3 linked regions of the Cricetulus griseus genome follow. The protein of the gene in region 3 purifies or fractionates together with the protein of the main gene of each other region. This does not show direct contact. Links are inferred from orthologs where the notes say so. Each region holds a gene or a part of one and is shown on either strand. Other genes may lie near its edges.

The links. Proteins that work in one complex are often made in the same cells at the same time.
Region 1: the proteins of Ryk (region 3) and protocadherin-7 purify together in Homo sapiens (affinity purification with mass spectrometry; 3 studies listed by BioGRID and IntAct, with this or other methods). This does not show direct contact. The link is inferred for Cricetulus griseus from reciprocal best matches to the Homo sapiens genes RYK and PCDH7.
Region 2: the proteins of Ryk (region 3) and Adgra3 purify together in Homo sapiens (affinity purification with mass spectrometry; 3 studies listed by BioGRID and IntAct, with this or other methods). This does not show direct contact. The link is inferred for Cricetulus griseus from reciprocal best matches to the Homo sapiens genes RYK and ADGRA3.

What each region holds. Positions count from the first base shown.
Region 1 is NW_023276807.1:125,653,630-125,657,283, reverse strand, and holds part of protocadherin-7, read right to left. Parts: intron 1,492-3,654; coding exon 1,275-1,491; intron 1-1,274.
Region 2 is NW_023276807.1:118,364,831-118,368,484, forward strand, and holds part of Adgra3 (adhesion G protein-coupled receptor A3), read right to left. Parts: intron 1,533-3,654; coding exon 1,368-1,532; intron 1-1,367. UniProt on the Homo sapiens protein: Orphan receptor that may have a role in planar cell polarity pathway.
Region 3 is NC_048597.1:211,108,587-211,112,240, forward strand, and holds part of Ryk (tyrosine-protein kinase RYK), read left to right. Parts: intron 1-860; coding exon 861-995; intron 996-3,078; coding exon 3,079-3,132; intron 3,133-3,654. UniProt on the Homo sapiens protein: May be a coreceptor along with FZD8 of Wnt proteins, such as WNT1, WNT3, WNT3A and WNT5A. Involved in neuron differentiation, axon guidance, corpus callosum establishment and neurite outgrowth.

The DNA of each region.
Region 1 (3,654 bases), on a different chromosome or scaffold from region 3:
ATGCCATTTAAAATCTGAATAATTGATCAAAAGGGACATCAATCAACAGGCCCTGGTATCAAATCTAATAATAATGTAGAAAGATAATTGCTTAGTATAATTTAGTTTAGAATACTTCACTTGAGGTCTCTTTTTGATTTATTCGTTGCTGGATTTTAATATTCACAGGTAAAATTTTGAAAAGGAAGCCTGTTATTCTTTGCATTAATACACTGTCTTTGCATGCCACCACTGAAGAAACTGGTATAAAGCAAGAAAGAGATCCTTTTTCATTAGCAGATTGAGGCGGTGAATGACATAAATCTATTTTGACTATTCACTACAGACAAAATATTTGCATTTCCCATGCCTTTCTTGATATATAACGGTATCTCTTTCACATTGGAAATAATAATGAACTTGGGAAGAGCTTTGCCACTCTGGAAATAATAATGAAGTTAGGAAGAGCTTTGCCACTCCACTGTTTGACATAAACATTTTCCTCAAATGTATACTTAGCACTCAAAATGCAGAAAATAAATACCAAAATTTTCTTTAGGAACATGAGCAAATGTGAAAGCATTTACATACATTGTTTTAAATATCATTTTATGATATACAAAAAGCCATAAAGGAGAATTGTGACAAGTATAAGAATAGCCTCACAATGAGGTAAGAGTAGGCAGCATTATATTTTGTTTTGTTTCCTTTTCCTTGCAAAAAATCGGAATAAGGCATATACTTTAAGGGGAGAGGGGTGTTTGTGGTATTTACTGCATGCTAGGTAGAGCAAGACACTGCTGCTTGCTTCTCATCCATTTCACCTGGCACTCAAAAGAACAGGCTCAGAAATGCATTGCTGGGCATTCAGGAAAGGAAAACTCAAGCAAAGTGTGTTCATGGTCTTGCCTTTCACTAAGATTGATTTATGAAAATTGAAGAAATAGTTGCATGACAAAAATGAATAGAAGGAAATAGTTAAACAAGACCTCTCATAGTGGTTATTGTTTAGCAATTGTGCATTGGATTAGCATTTTCATAGCAGGAACTGCTCTAATTTATTTCTAGGTGCATTTATTTCTGATGAGCTATTTGAAATGATGGCATAATTTTATGAATTTTATCTACAAAATTATATTTCTTTATTTGTCATTTCTAAATTTTACCGAGTGTTTAGTATTTTGAAATACTTTTGGTGTAATCTACTTTGTTTTTATTTTAGGCTAGCTTTCACAAGCCTAGTTATTCTGGCTCACTAGCGTGATTATGTGTGTGGATGTTGTGTTTGCCCCTACCATTTTCCATATGCTCTGCCTCACCAACACTGCCATCCGGCGTGGTCCTTTCATAGTTGTCCTCTGGGAGTGGAAGGGCACCCAGTCTTGGCCCTGATGAACTCTTACTGCTTGGTGTTTCTGACTCCTCCAGCCCGCTGTCATAGCAACTCTGCAGTGACCCCTGATGTGGGTCCTGTGGCTGACTCACAACAGAAAACGTCACTCTACGAAATGGCTGTAAAAAGAAAAGATTCTGAATGTCACTAAGATATAAGATTTCAAATGATCTTATTTCATAAAATACATAAATTACATACTTAAAAGCATACAGACACTAATTCAATACAAATTATTACACAGATCGAAATATATTCTGATAACTATATATTATCTAAGACAAAGCCTAGAGATTATGCTTTTGTTTTTGAAAAAAATTCCTGGTTTGAAAGAAAGGTAAGAAAACACAAATATTATCCAACATGCATTGCAATCGAGTAGACTAGTTTTATATATTCAACCCTTTTCCATTCAGGAGCCTTTACATTTTTTCACAAATAGATTTCATAAAAAAGAAAGGGTTATTTATTTACGGAGGAAATAAAATACTAAAATAACCATTATGAAAGGATGTCATTTAAATACTTCATCCAAATGACAGAATGCATTCAAATCAAGTTCATATGATACAGACTTTTATAGCCCTGTTGCTGGCACTCAGCTACAAACAGTGCAGCTGTGAAATAAGAATTTGCATGTGGTATTAGGAAATTTCAAATATTTATTACTTTGTTCCAATAAAAAATCTATTTGAAACTGTAAGAGACATAGTAGGATAACCTGTAAAATTCTCTTCAACCCATTAATAGGAAATAAATCACAAGACTAAACTGCCTGTGTTTACCATAATTGTAGTTCATTCAAACACAGTAAAGTCAAGTGTAGTGTTTATTTGGTGTATTGGATGTCATATAAAACTGTCCAACTAGCGCCAACAAGTACCTGTGCTGGTGACAATGCCTCATCATGTTGACTGTGTATGAGATACCCAAGATATCTTAGTTACATAATAAATGAGAGTAAATTTAAGTTCATTATGGGAAAAAACTAATGGTGTGTCATCCATAGAACAAACTAACATGTTAAAGCAATCACAATATTGATGATATGACATATGATAGATAATGTATATGCTAAATGCTGCTTATTAGCTGTCTGAAAAAAATTTAATTAAAATTTATTTAAATTAAAATCTTATTTTACATAACAACCCCAGTTCCCTCTCCATCCTATCCTCCCAGTCCCCCCTTCCAAACCCTCATCCCACCCCATATCCACTCCTTAGGGAGGGTGAGGCCTCCCATGGGAGATCATCAAAATCTGTCACATCATTTGGGGCGGGACCTAGGTCCTCTCCCATGTATTTATGCTGAAAGAGTATCACTCCATAGGGAATGGGCTCCCAAAGCCCATTCGAGAACTAGGGATAAATACTGGTTCCATTGCCTGAGGCCCCATAGACAGCTTAAGTCCCACACACACACACTTTGAAATTTTTAAAAAACAGTTCATACATTAACCCGGCATGAATTTGAATGTGACACAAGTGGACACAGTTATCATACTTACAACCCACACTGTTCCTTTCCAGTACACAGTTTAGAATTACTGTTGCCAAAACATAGTATAAATTTGAGAACCTTCTCTGGATGTTTGTAGCTTGAAAGTTCATGGTACAAATCTCTAACCATAACCATGACCAATAGGACTGTGGAGTTCTAAGGATTATCTGCACATGGTAGATTAGTAATGAGAAAGTTAATGATTGTGGCATTTTCCCCTAATTTATAAATTGGCTTTGTTAAGGACTAATATTCTCTTCCACAAATCTCTCCTTTAAATTCCATTATAGAGAAAAAAATTTCTGAAAAATCTGCACATTGCTGATATTTCTGCTACTAACTCATTCCTTATGAGTTTAATAGTAATATACAGCCTATGAAAAATCTTTTTTATCCTAGTTCAAGCTCTTAGCATGGGTGGCCATAAAATACAATTATGGTCTTTATAATGTTTCACAGAATTGGGATAGTAGTATGGAAAAACAGTTACACAGTATTTCATTGTTGATAACATATACATCATGGGACCAAACTCACTGACAAAAATTCTAAAGACTTGGCCTCTATTTCACCAACAACTCTTATCTTTTTTGTTAATGTGATCACTATATTTTTCACTATTTCAAGAGAGAAATCATTTTTGCTTATCTCACTTTTTATTTCTGTTTATATTTCCTCCCTTTTGTCATTATCAGGTGGCCATGGCGTATCTGGAATTGTCTGAGGAATTCAGTCTCCCTTTCAAAATGACGCCACAGCCACTCTCTTAAAACTATCAT
Region 2 (3,654 bases), on a different chromosome or scaffold from region 3:
AACACTATACCAAACATCATTAATACAGCAGTGCTGATACTCCTTAAGGAGTATCAGATGATAAATAATTCGTTAATCAATTAAGCATGCAAAACACTAAAAAACTGAATGAAAGACAAAACCCAACATAAATGGAAAACATGATTACTTCATAAAAGATGCTGAATGTCACAAAATGAACCAATGTCGCACATTATACTTTTAAGAACTAAAAGTATATGCACAGACAGTGTTCTATGCACATGAACTTACTCACTCGCTTGAAATAATGAATACTGTCTCTGTCTGTCTGTCTGTCTGTCTGCCTCTCTCTCTCTCTCTCTCTCTCTCTGTGAGAGAGACAGAGACAGAGACAGAGACAGAGAGATGGAATAAGGTGAGAGACAGCACTCCTACAGTGTCCCAAACTACAAAGATATATATTAAAATCTTTCTCACTCTAAAATTGTAGAGGCTATAACCAAGAGGTAGCTACCCCCCAACACACACCAGAAACAATGTGAACTTAGAGTTAAATAATCTTTATACATGATTGAAAAGCAATGTATTTCCTTTGTTTACACTAAAAACTCATTACTAAAAGCCTCTAAACACAAGTTGCTGTAACTCATCTATGGAAAGATGATTTACATCAACTTGGAAAGTCATTAACTCTCACAGGTCCTCCTCCATCTAAAAGGATCTTAACTGGTTCAGCAGATCTCACAAGAGCCCTGGAACCCACCAGATCCCAACAGCTGTCTTGGGCTATGAAATGGTGTTCCTTTCCCCAATCCCTTTTGACTCAATTGCCAGAATTACTGAATGGGGCAAGAAAGTAAGTCTATGTGTCTCCCCCAATGACGATGTCTAGAACTAAATGACTTAAGAATAGAAAACCTTTCAAGATTTATCATTAAGAGTCATTGGAAAAAAAAACAAAGAAACATGAGACAGTGTCATCAACTTGCCAGACACTGTTTCCCTAAAGCAGGAGTTTGTAAGACCTGTAGCAAACCATTGGTTAAGGGGGACAAGCAGAGAATGGGGGGAGACATGATCAAGATACACTGCGTGCATGCATTAAAATTTTCAAAACACACCTTTTTTCTAAAATAACTATTCTTTCAGTGACTCTTAAATCAATAGGTATCAAATAAAGTTCAAGTATCTGATTATTTTTCTATGATACTGAAATTATTATTGCAAAGAATATTCCTTAGATACATATCTATGTGTGAATATCCACATATATGTGTATGTATGGATACACATACACACACTCATCTCAATTTTTGTTATTGAGGTTGAGAGACCAATTATTTATCTTTGAGACTATAAAGCTTTGGGACAAACCAGCATTTTCTAGTATGTTTCACATCACTGACCTGAAATCACCTTTGTTGTTCACAACCCTCTCTGGTGGACAGTACTGGGCTGAGCTTTCTAATACCACAATATCAACAGTTCTTGTATTATTCCCACGTTTGGTCTGAACATGACAGCCCCAGTTTCCAGTAGATCCAGCCTGAATATTGGAAATGGTTAGGGCACTGCAGAAAAAAGAAAAAAAAATTTAAAGAGAGAAATATCAGGATCCTAAAAATAAAGTAGAGCCATAGGAGGGGTAGGAACAGAGCACAATGGTTTGTAACACAAAGGAATTCCAGAAGCATGGTGGGACACAGAACAGCCAGCTCACAGGTGGAAAATGGTTTTAAGTCACACCATTTCAAAGACTTTGAATAAAATATTTATGAAATACAGGACTATAATGAAGTGATTTAAAAAGAAATATGTAAGGAGAAGAGGCTGGAGAGATGGCACAGTAGTTGAGAGCACTTGTTCCTCTTGAAGAGGACCAGGTTTAAGTTCTCAACAGCTCACAAACCATTTGTAACTCCCAGTTTCACATGGTCTAATGACCTCTTCTGACCTCCAAGGGTACCACATGCATACAAGGTGCATGAACAACACACACACACACACACACACACACACACACACACACACACACACACACACACACACACAAATAAATAAAAGTATTTAACAGGAAATACTTTGTAGAGAAAGAAGAGAAAGATTATTCTAAAAACAGGTGGATCCGTGGGCAAAAATGCTTGCCAATGTGCTGGGTGACTTTAGTTTGAGACCCACACACAGCAAGAGGGAATCGATTGCTGCAAAAGCCTCCAACTTCTACGTGTACAGCCTGGCATTCACAAAAGAATACATGTGCATACACTAAACAAATGTAACTCTTTAAAAAGATTAGTAAATGACCAATTAATGATTCCTAAAGAAGTGTCTATGTGAAGCTATGTTTCACCTTAGAGCTGAATCTCTCCATAATGGTCAGTAAATCTCATTCTTAGTATGAAATCATAATTCTCTAATATAAACCTATTAATTAAAGAGCAAGTGTCAAAACCTTCAATTAACCCCCTTTCCTCTATATGATCCACCATGCTTTGCCGTTATGTAGAAACAAATGGTAAGATATAATTAGACATAAAGCATGTATCATCTTAATTAACTTATCAAATTATGTCTGGAAGTGAATACACATTTGTGTGGTCTCCTAAGTCACCAAGGGCTGGCTAGCATTCTAATAGACTCTGAGGCACTGTTACATCCAGAATCATCAAAGAAAATGAATATTAGCATTCCTAAGTTAAGAAACAAGTCAACAGTTGTAATCAATATTTTAATGATGAGTGACATAAAAAGCAAAATTCTTTATTAAATAATCATTAAATCCAAAGCTATTCTATGCTGTGCAGCTATAATGAATTAGGACGAAATACAAAGTATGGCCCCTAAGTAATCCAGGTTTCAAGCTCAGCTCAAGAGCCTCACTATGTAACTCCTTTACTATGTGCCTAGTCCTCAAAAAGAAAAATATCTGGTAGTTCCAAGTAGTAAGATAAATGTCAAAACTGAGTCTCTATTCAACCATAGGGGTACACACCTGTAATCTTAACATGGAGGACCTAACACAGGAGGATCACAAGGCCAACGTAAGCTCATAAAACAACAAAATATACTGTATGTTTACATTCTAATAAATTACTAGCCTAGCCATTTGAAAGATATAGCTTTAAAAATTACCAAAAAATAAAATTTTTACCTAAATACAGTGATTCCACATGAGATGTGACTGCCTGCTAGCCACCATGGAAACAATCTGAGTTCAGAATCTTCTCAGGCAAAGAACACCTTTTTCTTCCAGGTTTTTGACTCATTTGGACCACCACATCGGCCTAAAGTTGCACACCTCAAAATATGGTACCATCAAAAGAAGCATGACATGCTTCGATGGGGACACTGTACAGTGCTAGCAGCCATGTGGTGTCCAACCAATGTCACTGCCTCAGAGGATTAATGTGGGTCCCAGTGTTGGTGGTACCCTTCTGGGAACCATGGGTCCTCATATACTATGCCATTATTTTTTTGTGGATAACTTTTAACAATGCTTTCAATGTCTAAAAGCATCCACTGGAACCAAAGTCCCAGGTATCACCCAGACAGCAGATCTAGAGACAAGGGATACAAGAAAAAAGCAGCTTGAGTGTCATCTTGTAAGAAAACAATCACTAAGTTTTATAAATAAAGGATGGACGACATCAAGAGACCTACAAGGGATCAATAAGCTTCAACCTCACCTACTTC
Region 3 (3,654 bases):
AATAGCTAATCCTATTTAGAAGGGCAGTGTTATTTTAATTCATAGCTGAGAATTTGTCAGTTTCATTTATAGGTTTATTATAATTTATCCCAGTACAATGTCTTTATTTCCGAGGGGTACTTATGAGTAATTACTATTGTATAAGATAATTTTTAAATGTGACTACTAAATACACATACATATTTTCCACAGAGAGTACTTCCACACATGTTCTTACTATACATATGTTTGTCATTGGTGGTGTGCTAATGTATGTATTTGCGTATCTGTGTGTCATAGCTCTAAGTCCAACAGGAACTCTCCTGCCACCCAATTCAGTGTGGCTTTGGTTTTCCCCCATTTTGTTAGCCGAACAAAAGGATACCCCTGCTATAGGAATATGGTGATGATATGTTTTATTTTGGGCATCTCATGTCTGCCCTGCAGACCGCAATGCATATTCTACCTTCCTGACATTTACATCCTTCAAATTATATAGGAGCAATATATAATTGCATTTGGTACCGCATAGTCTTTCCTTTTATTTATCCTGTAATTTTGTTACTGTTGCTCGTGAGACTGGTAAGGTCAGCAGTGTTTTCCTTATGGTTCTGTAGCTTTAGTATATTGGAAAGCAGAACGTATAAGACAAACTAGCATGTTCAAATTCACAGGCAAAGCTTGACAGTAATTGTCCCTTCGTCTCTGTTGCTTTTCTCTTCAGCACTCTTCCTTATCTACATGGAGGAAACAGAAATGTCCAGAGCTGTGGTGATGTGGTCTCAGAGCTCTCTGGTCCACTTATTTAAATGTGTTTGTTTGCTTTATTTGAGAGCAGATTTTTAGGACACTAAAATATTTTCTCTTATTTCTTTTAACAGTGTTTCGGGTTGAACTTTCCTGTACCGGCAAAGTCGACTCTGAAGTTATGATACTAATGCAGCTCAACCTGACAGTAAATTCTTCAAAAAACTTTACAGTTTTAAATTTTAAACGAAGGAAAATGTGCTACAAAAGTAAGGAATTTATTTAACAGAGTGTGTTTTGTGTAAATAAGAGGTCTATAGAATATTGTATTGTTTGTTTACAGACTTAACTATAAACAAGTCTTTATTGTAGTTGTGAGAAAAGGGAAGCATACTAGTAGATGAAATTCTGGGGTAACCCCAGATAGTGTGTAGCCAGGATCTCTCTCGGCCACACTCAGCTCTGTGGAACTGCTTGAAAGATTCCATGAGGAGTGTGAAGTGGAGCCTGTGTGGCTGAAGGGTAAAGAAGGAAGACAAACCCCACAGAGGCCATGGAGCAGCTGTGAGCTAAGCATTTGCTCAGTGAACTTGGCTTCTGCAGGAGCTTCACTGTGTGTGTGGGGGGGTGGGAGGGTAGGCGGAATGTCTGCGGGAGTTTCACTTTGGGGGGTCACGTGGGCCTGCTCTTCTCAGGATGGGTGAATTGTTATTACACCTTTGTGAGACTCAGGTTCTCATCTGTAAAATATGCATGATGCTGTTTCAGAGAGGGTTTAAAGGATAATTAAATCTAGCCTAGAATTAGAGTGTCACATGTGGGTACTTAATAATAATTATTTGTTAGGGATTTGAATTATATTGTCTATTGCTCAGGAAATCACCACAGATACAGTGATTTCTAGCATACCAACGCTGAGTTTTGAAATTTTAACAATTCTACAAGGTTATCTAATTTCCATGTAGCACAGAGATAGAACTTGTAAATTTACAAATAGGTAGAACTGTTTACTGTTTAAGGTAGAAACAAAACAAACCATAAACTCAATGGATGCTTTTCCATGGTCTGCACTCGTTACATGCAGTAAACCCATGTATCCTTACGTCAGTTCTAGGTAACCTGGCCAGGCTCAAACAAAGTGCTGCAGCTGAGAGGCCAACCTGTGTTCTTGGTTTCTTTGTGAAACTGTTTATTTGCAAACTTCCCAGTGGAAATTAGTGCTGGGTCTTATTCAAACACCCAGGGTCAGCAAAGTGAGTTACAGTGGCAAATGTCAAGACACATGCCAACAAAGAAACTATATTGCATTGAAAAGAGACATTTTTTAAAATAAAAAAATTATCACCCTTATCTTTAGTGCAGTTTTAAGTTGCTTTGGTGTAAGTTTAAAGCCTAAGGGGATTGTAGAGGCTTTACTGCAACTTGCCTTTATGTGATTGGCATGAGGACACTGGGCCTTGAAGAGGCCACCTAGACTTGTATAACTAGTCAGGATGGATGGATGGATGGATGGGTGGATGGGTGGATGGATGGGTGGGTGTGTGGATGGGTGGGTGTGTGGATGGATGATGGATGGATTGATACTAGGGTTGGACCCAGGGTGTACTAGAAGAGTGATTTACCACTGAGTGTATCTCAAACTCTATTTTAGCAATTTTATTTGAGACAGGTGCTTGCTAAGTTACCCAAGCTGGCCTTGAACTCACTATTTAACCAAGTCATGCCTTGAACTTGTGATCTTCCTGTATCAGCCTCTTTGGTAGTGAACATTAATGTGTTCACTACCATGCTTGACTTCTGAAAACTGTTCCATTTTAGATTTAATATATACCACTGTCTTAATTTGGTGGTCATAGCTTGCCCACTTTAATCAGCTTTTTTCATGACTCTAATATGTGATCCTATTGTATTCATCTGGTTTCTAGCCTATGGCACGTAAACAACTGCACTAGCAAGCACATCTGTGCTGTGTGGAATGCTAAGAGCTGTTACTCCCTAGAAGTTTCTTTATCTTAGTGGTAGAGTTAGGGTCAGGATTTTTCATCCTTTAGAAATCTAGATCCTTTCTGTTGAGCTGGTTGTGCCAAGAGTTTCCATGAAGACAGTGTAAGTTTGTGGGTTTCTCTACACTCTTGACCACAGAAACCCATTTCATTGGGAGTGGACAAGTAACTGGCATAGGCTGTTTATCTACTGGTGATTGCACTGATGACTATTAGAATGGCATAGTAGTTTTCATTATCTTACAGCGAATACCTGTGACTGAGCTCAGTGTTCAGAAAATGTGCTAGTATATAAGGATTCTTATGAAAAACAATTTCTGAAGTACTTTTTATTTCCCTTTTAATCCAGAACTTGAAGAAGTAAAAACTTCAGCCTTGGACAAAAACACTAGCAGAACTATTTGTAAGTGCCACTGTGTTTGTTATCTTTCTCCATCACGAGACTGAAGCAGTGCCTGAGTGCATGTGGACATGCTTGCATGACAGTGGAAGCCTGCTCCAGTGTGGTGTCAGTTTGCTGTCTATTCTGCTCTGTTCTGGAGACTGATACATAGATCAAGTGAAGCTGATTGGGTATTGAAGATTGTGAGAATTCAAACTTGCCTCTTTTATAGAACTAACAAACTAACACATACTTTTTAGAAGCAAAAATTTATATTGTGCTTTTTCTCAGATAGGCCCAATAAAGGAACAAATACTAAAAAATATGTTTAAGACCTTCAGTAGCAGAGTGTTAGGGAATCTGATTCATACCCTGGGCCTAACCTTTAGCTAATTTCATCTGGGTGAAAATGCAAATTTATGTTATTTATTTTATATTTTATTTTGAGAGAGAGAGAGAGAGAGAGAGATGACCTAGTTGGTAAAGTGCTATGCAAGCACGAAGACTTGTTCAGATTCCTAGCACCCATGTAAATGGCGGGAG